4 linked regions of the Arabidopsis thaliana genome follow. The protein of the gene in region 1 interacts with the protein of each later gene in a pairwise test. Each region holds a gene or a part of one and is shown in the gene's direction. Other genes may lie near its edges.

Region 1 (3,435 bases):
AACTACTTCATGAATTAATCTTCTGTTGATATGTTGTACCGTGTACGTACAAGTTGATACCACCGTTATATAGGTTCAAGTTTTCCACAAATTTCCACATTTTTTAAAAGTGATTTCGATTCCTTACAAACTGAGCTCTGTGGTGTTCAGCTTCATAATCCACTAATTCCACAAGGAGCTCACGACTTCTCTTCCTTCAACATCTACTGTTTGTAGACATGATTTGCCAACGTTTTGTTGAGGAAACATAGTTTTGTTTTTGTTTGCCTCACATATTTATTCCATTTTTTTGTTTGTTATTTTTTTCTTTTCAATCTGCATATTTTTTCGCGGCACAACCTAAATGAAAAAAAAATTACATGCAATTAGATATGATTGTAAATCGTTATATATATAACAACGGCAAAATATTTAGACACTCCTAAAAGACTTCTGCGTTGATATATTTTTTTTCTCCTACGCGATATATGTCAATAATTACGTGATAAACATAATAACATACGTGATAATTGCATGCAACCCTTATATTTAGACGATTGATAATTTTTTCTCCTAGGCGTGATAAAACTTTTTTTGACGGATTTTTTTTTTTTGCATTCAACCCTTATATTTAGGGCTCGAATATGAATGGAGCTTTACAGACATTAATTGATCAAGAATGTGAGAGAGATTTAGATTATTTTTTATGTAAATGCGAAATTACATTAATTATCAAACATATATATACGAAATTAGTGGTGGAGATTGATTTCCGTAAACGCAAAGGGTCATTAGTCACAATCGAGCTACAGTAGGAAAGCCCTAAAGAGGCTACACCATGAAGAAAGAGCCCTAGTTGAGACAAATCCACGTGACTTTGGTTTACAGATTAAAAAGCAAAACCCTAAATAAGCAAATCGACCATAATCTCGTAAAAAGAACAGACAAAACACAACCTCATGTAGAAGGAACAATTTCTGCGCGCCGCCAGTGTTATTAATTCAGAATCATAATTTCACGATTTTCAACCCTCTCCTTTTAAGCTTCAACTCCAACATCATAATTTTCCCTTCCACAAACTACTGTATAAATCACTTTTAACTCTATTGCTTATTATTATTACTGTAATTCATTATTATTATAAATTAATGACCATTGATTATTTCCCAAAACACAATTAAAGAAAAGTGCGTAAAGATTAAAGAATAATATGACCAACGGAAATAGCTGAAAACGATGACCTTTGAATTTGTTCAAAAATAAATGAAATCAATGATTTTATAATTTTAATTTGTAAATTGTTCAAGAAAGTTTTCTGAAATATATTCATGTCTTTCACTTAAAACAAAAGAATAAATCGACCTTTAATCAACAGTATCAAAGGACCTTTATACTCTGACAATAAGAAAGAATGGTGCAAGGGTTAAGATAAAAATAGTACATCATAATTATGAATTTGTTACTTGTCAAAAAGACATGAAATATGTAACTTATAACTGCTTTTATGCAAGTCCGTAGAAAAGGAAAAAGAAAAGACATGTAAGTTCGAACGTGGAACAAGAACTTCGTTAAACGTACTTTTGCTTTCTGCATCTCTCATAGATTCACAACTCACAAGTCAATAAAAGATGCAATGCAAGTCCATTTTTTTAAATTATATATTGGGTCAGGTCCATCTTAAATTAAAAACAATAAAAATGTATATTTTATTTTCTATAAATACGTAATCAGCTATCATCACATTCAGGTGCCTCACAACCCTAAGACAATCACAGAACAAAAAGAAAAATTCTTAGCTTTAAAAATTTCCCTTAGGTCAACCATGGAAGAAGCAATCATGAGACTCGAAGGTGCCGAGCACAGAGAAACCAACATCCATTCTTTGAAAAGAAAGCCATCAAGAACTTCCTCGACAGCTCCTGGCTCTCCCGGAGGAGTAACTACCGCAAAAGCTGCCTCCGGCGCCGGCGCTTCCGGTGTCTCTACGATAAGGTACCGAGGCGTGAGGCGTAGGCCATGGGGTCGTTACGCAGCTGAAATACGGGACCCATTGTCCAAGGAGAGACGATGGCTCGGAACATTTGACACGGCCGAGGAAGCAGCTTGCGCATATGACTGCGCCGCTCGAGCCATGCGTGGTCTTAAAGCTCGAACCAACTTCGTCTACCCAATGCCTTCTCTCGACTCTTATCACCACCGTATTTTCTCGTCTCCTCCAATGAATATGTTCCTTCTACGAGACGTGTTAAACTCTCAGTCTCTTTCTCCGTTAACCACTTTCGCTTACCCGCCTTGTAATCTTTCTAACGTAAACGACGTTGTTCACGAGTCCTTCACTAACGTCAACGATGTCTGTGAAGATCTCTCGCCTAAAGCTAAGAGGTCAAGTACCATTGAGAACGAGAGCCTGATATCAAATATCTTTGAACCAGAACCAGCTAGTTCTGGTCTTCTTCAAGAAATTGTTCAAGGCTTCTTACCAAAACCTATCTCTCAACATGCTTCTATACCTCCAAAGAGCAACCAACAGTCGGTTGGTGTTTTCCCGACGATGCCAGAGAGCGGTTTTCAGACAGATGTTCGTTTAGCTGACTTCCATGTCGAAGGAAACGGATTCGGTCAGGTTAAATATCATGGAGAGTTAGGTTGGGCTGATCATGAGAATGGGTTTGATTCAGCTAAGATGCAGCAGAACGGAAATGGTGGAATGTTTTATCAGTATTGCTTTCATGATGATTATTAGAATATTGTTGTTGTTCTACTTTTTACGTGCTTATCACTTCACAGTTTCTTTAGGGTTGTAAGAAATGAGGTTAAGGGTAACTAACTCAAATCTTTTGTCTTTTAATTTTTCGTCTAGTGCTATGATCAATTTATCTCTATGTTTTAGCAAAGAACAATTTTTATCTGAGTATGAGCGAAGTTAATTAATTGTGTATGACATATGTCGGTTATGAGCAAAGGTAATAACAAAAATAAAGTAAAAATACTCGAGGTGCTGGATGAAGACAATACCTAAAGGACAAAAATATATATCTTGAACAAATTAAGATTTTTTTTTCTTTTCTATAAGTTGACTTCAGAATCATAAAGACAGCCTTTGTCCTCTTGCTTTTTCTTCTTTCCCTTTTCCCTCTCAGATCACCGTAAGGGCATAATTATATTTAGGTTCACAAAATCCTTTGTCCATTAAAGTATTTGCACCATCAAAACTCAGTAAACATATACTTAAGGACTCGAATTTGCATCAATGTTTATAACCCTTATTCAAAAAAACCATATCCCAATTATGATCTTTAGGGGTACTCTTCAAGTATCCAAGAGATCTTCTAAATATTGGAATTTCTAGTGGATGTGATATGAACGATGTTGGGACTGTCTTTAGTTTTATATGATCACATCAGTCTATATTAATTTTTATTTTAAAACAAAACATTATATAAAAATATATCATAA
Region 2 (3,390 bases), on another chromosome or scaffold:
CCTGGGCCGACTCTAAATGTTTAGCCCATTTTAACATCCGTACTTTTTATGGTGATCTTGTAATGTTATAAAAACTGGAAATTATTTTCTACATGTATAGCGCTGTTGCTCACGTAACATATATAGTTGCTGATGTAATTGGGTGTTTTAAAATCTATTTAGGATATTTTGGATGAATGATGATTATTTTTTTAGTCAATTAGATAGTGGTCACTGATCAGCATCCATAGAGCATATTCCAACTAAAGATTTCAACAGTTGGTGACCGGTCCCTCTGTGTTTTCCAATATATTTAACACAACTTTACATAATTTTATAACCAATATTGTTTAAGATTTTGAATTATAGCTAAAAAGAGAGAAAAAAACAATATTGATTCGGGCCATCAATTTTTTTGGACCAACCTTTGCTAGGAAAACGAAGATACACATCATAAGGTGACGTATAGAACAAAACGAACAGACAAATAAAGCATAACAGATGTAGTTTGTAAAGAATAAATGGTGTAGAACGAATAGAACAAAAGCTGAATAGATATCTTAATTAGTTTGGTGCGAGTAACGGATAAATGAGTTATCAAATTTTGACTAATGTTTTGAAGTTTCGAAATATATATATGATTGTATTAATCGGTATTTAACGCTTATGATTTTTCAGTTTATACTTGAATCACCCTACTTCTTGAGGTTGGTGTGTTGTCCAAATATGATTCACAAAAACATGACCAAGAGTAAAATCAAACCGCACCGTATTATTTTATTATGCTTCATGACACCATTCATAACCAAAGTCTTCTTAGTTTTCCCCATACACACCAATAAAGATACTAAAGAAATAGCTAATAAGTAATTTAAGAACTATGAATCGTAGCCGTAACTTTAACTATACAAGAATAGCTGTATAATCGTGACAGCCCTTGACTTTGGGAGATATTGTCCAATACTCCAGTTAAGAGAAAGAAGTGGGAATGTGGGTTACATCGACAAAGGCTTTGCTCCAAGTTAATTAATGGCTATAATTGGCGGAATATATTAGTGGAAAATATAAAGGTGAGAAAATGATTTCTACATGCCTTTTAGCAATTAAGAGAAATAGTGGAAAACAATTATTTTCTCTATATTCTATGAAATAGCAAAACAGAAAAGAAAGAAAAAAGAAAAAAAAGAAGTTCCCCTTTGAAATAAGTGGGGTTTCATTGAAAATTCAAATAGTACTACTCTTTCATTCTTTTAGTGTCCAGTCAACGTTCTCGAGAAGAAAATATATTCAACGATTAGTTTGTTGTTACATGAGTTTATTGAATTAAGTTTTTAGAATGAATATATAAAATCTTGAAAATTGGATGCTTCAGAAGCAATTTTCAGAAATTTTGTTCAATTCATGGTAATAAAATGTTCAATTAATTAAAGTCATTTTTCAAGTGCAAGAATGGTAATGTTAGCATAATACAGCGGATATATATATCCTCTTTGAGGATAAAGAGTTGGTGGATATAAATATAACTCATGTTATTTCAATAATAGTCACAATCTTTTCTTTACATGCGTATATGAAAACATATTTGCACAACTTATTCCTGAGTTTAGGACCATTATTAAGACGATGTATTATTATGATCTATTAACATATAGTTGTCTTTGATGAAATTGACAGCTCATTGGGGCTATAATGTAAGAATTGTTCATTACTTTTACTTACGAGCTACAGTTTAGACTTGTATAAATAGATTGAATTACTAGTATTTATGGTCCAGTAAATATGAAATATTCATTACTTTATATGTATAGCAATTAGATCAAAGTAAAATGGTCCAAAATATGTTTTAATCCACTTTATTCAATTAGACAAAGAAATTTATTCATTCTTAGAAAGCAAATACTCCATTTTAAAAAAAAAATATCAGTTTAAACAAATATTTTTCATTTTAAATCCGTTGCCATATGTATTATTGAAATGACAAGAGTTATTATGACTGAACCAATACATTTTACTATATTGATTGATAAATTTTTATTATAACTTATCTCGTGTCTCCTCTAAAAACAAATTTGTCTCTAACCAATAAAACAATTATATGGTACCACTAAAATATTCCAAAATATTAATTGGACCCAACGTGTATATCGAAAATAATTTAAAAGAGAAAATGTTCTAGAATCTAGAGGAAGAAAATAACTCACCAGAAATAAGAAAGAAGAAGAAGAGATATAGATACATTGAACCTAGACATAAAACCCACCCAAACCCCAGTCTCAAAGACGCCTATTAATAAGGAACGTTCAAGAACCAAAACAAAACACAAAAAAACTCAAAGTGACCAAAATAACCAAAAGGAGAAATCTTTAGAAAACCTTTAAAAGTTCTTAAAAATGGGGAAAGGAGGAAACTATGTGACGGTGGCGGCTTCCGAAGTGGACGAGCTACGACGGAAGAACGGAGAGATGGAGAAAGCTGTGGAGGAGATGAAGAAAGAGATGTTGCAGTTGTGGCGGCGGACACAGGTGGCGGAAGAAGCGGAGGAGCGTCTCTGCTCACAGCTAGCCGAGCTTGAAGCAGAATCTTTAGACCAGGCTCGTGATTACCACTCTCGTATCATCTTTCTCATGAACGAGCTCTCTCGTCTTTCTTCAGACTCTGCCTCTGCCTCTCCGTAGAATTAGATAGATATTTGCTTTTAAAGAAAGATAGGTTTTTTAGATTGTTTGATGTATCCTCTTATCGGCTCATATCAATGCCAATATGTAGAGTTGTCTTTAAAACAAATATGGAAGTTTCAATCAAAAAAAAAAATCGATGTTGTTACCGATTGATTTTTGCGATTAATGATGAATGAAAAGTCTTGAAAACAATTTAAAGTAAATGATATTCGATGTTTGGTTTGACTAAAATGGAATTTTGTTTGTAAGACGTGTAAATTACTTTAACAGAAAGAAAATTTAAAGCAATTATGGTCATGTTTCCTATTATTATATGTGAAATGACCAAATTACAAATAAAGATTTTGCTTTTAGATTTTTGCGTATTATATGAAGAAGTGTTTGAATTCTACTGAATCATTGACATTGCAACAGTGGTTTTGGTCTTTCTAGAGTTTGACATAGTAAAATTGGAGAACTTGGTTTGCTTTTGGGAGAAAAAAGGGAAACGAATATACGGATCCAACGCCAGTGTACTATGTACAAATATAAACAAAGGGTTTGTTTTTGAACAAATCTAGTTTCTGACAGAACCAGGTGACCTGACGTGGGCAAACAAGTCTAGTCTTTTTTTTTTGTTAACCAAAACCCTTTAATTTTTCATAAATTGTGATGCAATTAAAACAAACAAATATTTATAATGTTTTTTTTTTTGAAGTATAACTAGAATTGTCTTTGGAGAGACTTGGAAACT
Region 3 (3,083 bases), on another chromosome or scaffold:
AGGCTTCTGTAACGGCCTTCCAATTTTTTCCATATAATATATGATAAAGTGGTCCGACAAACGCAATCCCTCAAAGATTGTTATTTTATCATCATCTTAAGAACAAAGATTTAGTCCTCCAAATCATATAAATCAGCTTTAATTAGTTTATACACCAAATCTTAAACCAATGAAGGGACATTTAACTCTTCGGACTCACTTAAACTATATATACCCATATCTTAAGCTTTCTTTTATTTTCTTAAAAAGTAACAGAAATGTTCTCAAATAGATCGATGTATAGAATATGAATAATTTAGGGATATTATTCATATATAATCAATCGATGAGAGGTGACTCTATATTGCAGATTGGGTACCTACAAATTTCATAACAAGTTGTTTGTGCTGACAACGATAAATGTTTTTATTTTAGCATTTTTCCTTTTTATGGAAGGGGTTGGTCAAACATGAGAAACAAGAAGGCAAATTTTGCAGATAACAAAAGGAAGGCAGAAGCATGCATGAAAGCCAAAAAAGCATGTGACCAACTTTGTAAAATTCAACCTTTTTTCTCAGCCTTTTGGTAAAATTATCTACAAATCCAAACTATATATATATGGAACTATACATTTTTGTCTAACTGAATTCACAACATTTAATAATCATATATAAAGAAAAAGATGGTAGCAAACCAAGAACACATGCCAACTTGTAATTTCCATACATCAAGAACACTGACATTCTGATGGTAAGCAACTAAACACTGTTGGCAACTACAATCTCTTTTAAAAGTTCATTCTCAAGAATATTGATGACTCCTTTATTTCTTTTTATATAACATTAACTAGCCAATTTTCTATATCCCATTAGGGGCTAAGAATAATAAAATGGTTACGAAATTCGATCTTGATCACCAAAAGATATTCCAACTTGTATATATGTTTAGCGCTACATTTGTGAGATGCTAATTGGATTACACAATCCAAAATATATATTCCACTCCTTTTGCGATCATATTGATAATGGTATTATATGTAGCTTGTTTATAGAGATTGATTAGAGAGGATTTGAGAGCATAAAGTGAATACGGAATATAATGGAAAACCACCGGCCATATATCCAAACATTCGACCTCATCTCTGCGTTACGACTTGCTCACATAATGTTGGCAGCATCAAATTTATTATTCGGCGCGTCTCTATATACAATATATATATATACACATGAATATTGGACCATTTGTATTTATATATATGCATATATTGGACCATTTGTATTTGATAATATTGGACCAATTTCGCAGACAAAAACTAGCTAGCTAGTGTAAATGTGTAAGAAGATATTACAGAAAAAGCCGACAAGAAGGATAGATATATCCATTACCAACAATTCCCTTATTCTACTAACCTATTTAACTGAATAATATTCTACTTTTATATGGTTGTAAAATCTTGAAAAAATAAATAATTATACTTAAATGGGACTCAAATGTCTCTTAAAAATATCATCCTATCATAACAAAAGCTAGCAACCATGATGGTCCATGACTATCACATCAATAACTTTGTTATCATTTGGCATATCCTCTCTAATAATATGCCATTTTAAAATAAATTAAAACCTACCAGTTAAATTTAGAACTTCACCATGTATAAATACTCTGCATGCCTCTCACTCTCTCCCCAACCAACTCTCACACAAATTCTCTCGCTCTCTCACTCTCTTATTCTCTTTCTCTTTTTCTCTAAGAATACAAAAAAAGATGCAATACAAAACAGAAACTCGAGGGTCGTTGTCCTACAACAACAACAGTAAGGTGATGAACAACATGAATGTGTTTCCGTCGGAGACACTGGCGAAGATAGAGTCGATGGCGGCAGAGAATGCGGTGGTTATATTCAGCGTGAGCACTTGCTGCATGTGCCATGCCATCAAGCGTCTCTTCCGTGGAATGGGCGTCAGCCCCGCCGTCCACGAGCTCGACCTCCTCCCTTACGGAGTTGAAATCCACCGAGCTCTCCTCCGTCTCCTTGGCTGTTCCAGCGGTGGCGCCACATCTCCGGGGGCACTTCCGGTGGTGTTCATCGGAGGGAAGATGGTAGGAGCAATGGAGAGAGTGATGGCTTCACATATCAATGGCTCACTCGTCCCTCTTCTCAAAGATGCTGGCGCTCTTTGGCTCTGATGAGTGCTAATCTCATCCTCCAAATATCAACCTTTGGTTTATCTTTGGTTTTTAAGGACAGAAGAAATAGGTTAATCCCAGTGTTGAATTAGAGACAGTGAGAGAGAAGAGTGATGCGTTTGTTTTAAGCTTAGCTCTTTGTCTATCTTAAATCACACTAATATATAAATGTTAACTAATCGCTATGTCTCTTGTTAGCTTTCTTATCTCTAATTTTACAATTTGACAGTTGATTTGCAAAATTTAATGGTCATTTTTCACAAATAAAAATTTGCCATGAAAATAAAATAAAATTAAAGGTCAAACTAAGACAAGAACGAGGAGGTTATTTTCATGACCTAAAATCTTAACCGTTATAACTGTTAACTTGTGGGGGAAATAATCACCTCATGAGGGGTCCCCACTCCAGATTACGTGGAGACCCACTAACAATAATCCGTGATTTTGACCCGACCGTTGCGTCAAGAAGAGCCCGTACATGATCATCCAATAACGTCACTGATTTTACAGCTATCAATTCCTTCCTAATTCATTTTTGCTTTTAAAAAACAAATTAGAGAACACTTCTTCAGTCATTCATATTTCATACAATCACATGTCACCTTTTCTTTGTTTTTTCTTCTTCTCAAAGTTGTAAGAAAACTACAATTACAAGGTCACATTATCTGAGTTTGGAAGGTTTTTAAACATTTCACTTCCATTACAACTTTAAAGGGCTCATCAATTACCATGATGAGTAAAAGAAGGAACTAAATAGCATATATACCTTGAGATAAGTTATACTCATTAGAATAATTCTTACGTAGACAATAAACGACTCGTAACGTGTAAGTCACCCAGAGATCTTGATTACAGCAGTATAGGAATCTACACAGAATAAAGGGAAATACAATTTGGGGAATCTAATCTAATTGCCT
Region 4 (4,641 bases), on another chromosome or scaffold:
CCACAATACACAGGTAAGGCCACGACTGAGAGACAAACTATATACTTACATTCACACACCAATAACTATAACACTCTCTGTTCAATGAGGCGAAGCAGCTCATAGAAAAAACCAAGCTTTATTCACATAATCAAGCTTTATTCATGTCGCTGATGATTAGAGCTTTACCTGTGGTCTCATGTCTCTTCATACCCTCCATTGACCCAGAGAACAGAGCTCTTGTCACACTCCCCATTGAAGAACTACAGCCAAGTCTTCCCCCGTTGGAGCAACACAGAGTCGAGGTTGGTGAAGACCTAAGCTCATCCTCTTCGTAGTTAGCGTACAGAAGTGGCGATTTTTTGTCGTGACTCATACGTTTTTTCAAAGAATGTGGTGGCGAGGAGGAAAAGGAAGATGAAGATGACGTAGAAGACCAAGAAAACGATGAGCTTGCCGTCTTCTTGCTACCGTGATTGCTCCTCCTGAGATCACTGAACATGGAGAAGGACAGAAACTTACTTAGTTTTGATCTCACCTTGCTTTGCGTCCTTGGTGTCGACAAAATCCCGGAGGAGTAGTATGAGGGCGGCGGTGTGAGAGGCAGAGGAAGAGAGGAATCGGAGCAGAGGTGGTTTTTGGGTGTTCCTGGCCTTGACTCCCATATGAATGGTATGGAGGCTCCGCCATAGTAGGAGGATCTCTCTTCATCGATTGCAAAGTCATCTTCTAGTCTTTCTGACATCTGTTTTTTATAAACTCTCGGTTTATGTTTGAGTCGGCTTTTGATGAGAATTGATGTACGAAAATTGAAACAACAAGTGCTAGTTTCGAAGCTTCTTTAGAGGTGACAAAGAGTAATATGTATTGCGAGTAAAACAAGTTTGCCGATGAAACAAAAGAATCTTCTTTGCACGGTTGTATATAATCGTGGATATTTATTCTGCTTTTTTATTTTCTTTAGGAAAAATTCATATGGATGAGCATATTACAAGTATATGGAAGATCATACATAGGGGAAAAAATTGGTTAGATAATAAATGAAAGGTGGCTATCTTACTGTATGCATTACTTAATGCGTTTTCATTAATAATAAGAGAGTCGTGAGGTGAGGATCACATTATTGGTAAACAGTTACTGTAGTAAGCATTGCTTAGAGTATTTAATATGTTACCTTTTGTGGGATTCCACTCTATAAACCTTTTTATTTGGTGTTCTTATAATTAAGGAAATAATTATTGACCAACAAATCCACACGTTTTAATATATATCAAGACTACTAACCTTGTTTGTCGTAATTTGAAACTACTGACCAAAAGTTTGGGGCATGTTCATCCAAAAGATATAATGGTTTACATTTAATGAAATGATAATTTAGATAGGATATAATAGGGAACTACTCAGAGTGTCAGACCAAACCATCTGAATACGTACCAATGTCAAGTGCTAACTGGTAACTCCCAACAATAGTAATTAGAAAAGATATATATATTTGTCGGTTCTAATTAGTTGGAAGAAACGTATGCGGAGAAATAAATAGAAACGTGAGAGATCGAAAGACGACGGTGATGAATTTGGACGGTTGAGTGAGGGAGGTCGTATAATTTAATGGTCGTTTCCAATCGTATTCGTACGTGGTCCGTTTTCTCCTACTCGGATTTTGCTTTAATGTGATGGCCACACAAATTGGTTAGAAAACTATAAGGGAAAGCTCCACCTATTTATTTCACTCATACATTTACTATACACTAATATCGCACGGGAAAATTATAACAATTTTCGGATATTCGTATTTGAACAGAAACAAACAACACATACGTAAGAATTTCCTTCACAAAAAAGCCCAATATAGACGAACTTGAACTTCGTACCAACGGCCCAATATCGCTTCCTTAATCAACGGCCCAAAATTTTCATTTATTAATTAATCAGATAACCAATCAATAGAAGCCACGTCGCCACAGCCATTAGTAGTAGCATCATCAAAGCCTGCATTCTTGTTCTTCGAGTCTCTCTCGTGAGTGACTTTCATTACCGAGAAAAACACAATCATAGAGAAGCTCTCAATCTTGTTTGCTTCTGATCAGTAACTATGATTACTGTAAATAGATCACTCTTTCATTATCTTTCCCTTTCACTTGTACAAACCAATTCGTTCTCGAGCTAACGGAAATGGCGGAGAGGCAACAGAGCCCTGCGGCGGAGACGATTCCCGGTACACCCGTAATCCGGGAAGTGAGAACCGGAACCGGGTCCGAGAATTTCAACCCGGAGAATACAAGGAGAGGATGCTTGAGAGCTGAAATCGACATTTCTCCACAGTTATATGGTGGTCGTGGGTTCTGGGTTCCCTTCAATCTTGAAGACAATTACGTGAGTTCTCTTCTAGTTTCCGATTTACAAAGTCTGTTCATTTAAAGTTTGAGCATTAATGTCACTGAAAGTTTGAAATGTATGTTCTCTAACTGTTAAGTATGCTAACAAACTGAATAACTGATAGCTGATTCGATTTGGTTACTGAGTAGATATTTTGTAATAAGTGATAGCTAATTTGATGTTTGCATTTGCGGCAATTGATTCTGGAACTAGCAAGATGTTATGTAAGATTTTTTTTTGGTATTATATAGCATGATTTGTTTTATGTTTTTTTGGTTTGTCATTCTTCAGGACTGTGTGGGAGAATTTGACATAAAGAGAATGGAAGAACAGACAGTGGAGCTTGAGAAGGATCTGATTATGAAAGAGTTAGAGACTCTGGATCTTCTTGAAGCTCTTGGATCAACCAAAAGGATTTTTGAAGATTTGAAGTGGCAGCTTCAGCAGCAAGCACTGAGATGCAAGGAGACCCCTCAACATTTGCGTTCACACTCCAAAGAGATGGTCGATGAGCACTGCCATCGTAATCCCCTGAAGTCTCCGGATCTGATGACCATGGAAATGAAGCAAGCTGGTATGAATCTTTGTAAAACCATGGATGATCTTGCGTTGATCCACTCTTATGCTGAATCTCTGAATATGAAAACGAAGGAAGAGAAAGATGTCCTTGGAGTAGCGTCTCTAGCGGAGGAACTTAACAGTTTGAAGTTTAAACCAGCAGGTCCTGATCAAGTAGAGAGATTCAATACCGAGAATTTACCAGTGAATCCACAATGTGAACAGATTAAGATGGTAGTTGAAACCTATGATACAGCTTTCCATAAACAGAGCAAAACCTGCCCGAGAACTGCAGATATGAGATTGGTTGCTGCAAGAAAAATGGAAGAGGCAGCAAGAGCAGCGGAAGCACTTGCGCTTGCTGAAATGACCATATTATCCAGCAGAAGAAACCAAGACGCTCTCTGCTTCCCTAAGACACCATGTTTTCCATTAACACTTAAAGCACAGATGAACAAAGAATTATCCACCAATGTCTCAAGAATAGAGATCTTGAGGAAGCTGGAGGAAGCTAACGAAGAAGTTAAACAAAGTAAACAAGCCTTGGAAGTTGCGTTAAACCGGGTAGAAATCGCTAGTGTGAAGCAACTTGAAGCAGAAGAGGCATTTCGGCAGTGGAACATAGAGTCATGGAAAGACCAGAAAGCTGTTGGAGCAAAACGCTCGATGAAAAGAGAAAGCTTTCCTCAGCGCTCTTTCTTGAGCCATATCAATCAGCACGAGCCACTGATCGATCTCCCTGAGCCAATGCTGAAACGTAACGTCTCAATGGGTAATGCTCTTAACCGAAAAGATGAGAAACAGTTGGTCACGCCGAGGAGAAAGTTTAGGTTCATACAAACACATCAAGCTTCCATTAGAAAAACAGAGTAAGCTAAAAAAATACCCAACCTTTGAAAACATGTTTTGCACATTTCGATTCCTGTTTTTTTTTATTCTTGGTTTGATCATTGATGGGTGTTGTTGCTTCCATCAAAAGCAAAACACAGATGATTAGAGTGAGATGTGTTGTTTTGACTCAAATGTGACAAAAAGAAAAACATTATAGTAAAAACTAAAGCTTCTAGTAATCATAATTAATTATGGGAGTTAGTGAAGGGCATTGATCATATGATTTAGGTGGTGGGCACTTTCTTAACTAATGCATTTTAAGTGTTAGATTAGCTAATTAGGTGATCCATAATCAATACCGTAGGTCCTCAACTGTTTATTTTTTAATAACGTTGGTCTTTATAATGTTTCTAGATTCTCAAAATAGAAACTGAAACATTCAGGTTGAACTACGGAGATAAAAACACATTTTACGATTTGACCAGTTTGTACTTTATACTGTATAAGTTTGGAGTGGTCAGATACAGAATGATGACGTGGTCAAGGCTTTTAAGACAATCTAGATATCTCCAATAACTTAATGCCACGTGTTTTAGTCTTCACAACAAAGATTTCGTCTGGAATCCTCGTATTGGCTTAGAGCGTGGGACCAAACGAAACCAAAAGAAGGAAAAGGAACTAAATAAATAAATAATTAAAAAATAAAGTTGAAAAGTAAGAGTGGCGTGGGTTAGCAAAATCATTGTCTCAGGCTAAAATGTGCCACTCCCAACACGTGGGCTACTCTTTTCCAAGTGTCAACTATCTGACGGTACGTTTGCACTTTTTTAAATTAGGTTGCTTTGCGCTCGTTTCGTGTCAATAATCCAAAGACAACGTCTTTATCTTTATTTATTA

What was found.
Region 2: the proteins of DRNL (region 1) and LSU2 interact in binary tests that used the Arabidopsis thaliana proteins (3 or more experiments, as listed by UniProt).
Region 3: the proteins of DRNL (region 1) and ROXY2 interact in binary tests that used the Arabidopsis thaliana proteins (3 or more experiments, as listed by UniProt).
Region 4: the proteins of DRNL (region 1) and AT3G56270 interact in binary tests that used the Arabidopsis thaliana proteins (3 or more experiments, as listed by UniProt).

The regions. Positions count from the first base shown.
Region 1 is NC_003070.9:8,713,676-8,717,110, reverse strand, and holds DRNL (DORNROSCHEN-like protein), read left to right. Parts: upstream 1-1,732; 5' UTR 1,733-1,801; coding exon 1,802-2,722; 3' UTR 2,723-2,746; downstream 2,747-3,435. UniProt on the Arabidopsis thaliana protein: Required for correct embryo patterning and cotyledon organogenesis. May positively regulate the gibberellin signaling pathway leading to germination, hypocotyl elongation, and leaf expansion.
Region 2 is NC_003076.8:8,442,736-8,446,125, reverse strand, and holds LSU2 (response to low sulfur 2), read left to right. Parts: upstream 1-2,024; 5' UTR 2,025-2,369; coding exon 2,370-2,654; 3' UTR 2,655-2,847; downstream 2,848-3,390. UniProt on the Arabidopsis thaliana protein: May be involved in defense responses monitoring. Probably implicated into osmotic stress signaling.
Region 3 is NC_003076.8:4,540,172-4,543,254, forward strand, and holds ROXY2 (Thioredoxin superfamily protein), read left to right. Parts: upstream 1-1,608; 5' UTR 1,609-1,743; coding exon 1,744-2,166; 3' UTR 2,167-2,414; downstream 2,415-3,083.
Region 4 is NC_003074.8:20,868,069-20,872,709, forward strand, and holds AT3G56270 (WEB family protein (DUF827)), read left to right. Parts: upstream 1-1,931; 5' UTR 1,932-2,151; coding exon 2,152-2,352; intron 2,353-2,646; coding exon 2,647-3,786; 3' UTR 3,787-4,039; downstream 4,040-4,641. Other genes in the region: AT3G56250 (uncharacterized protein), read left to right, coding at 14-88; AT3G56260 (uncharacterized protein), read right to left, coding at 131-724.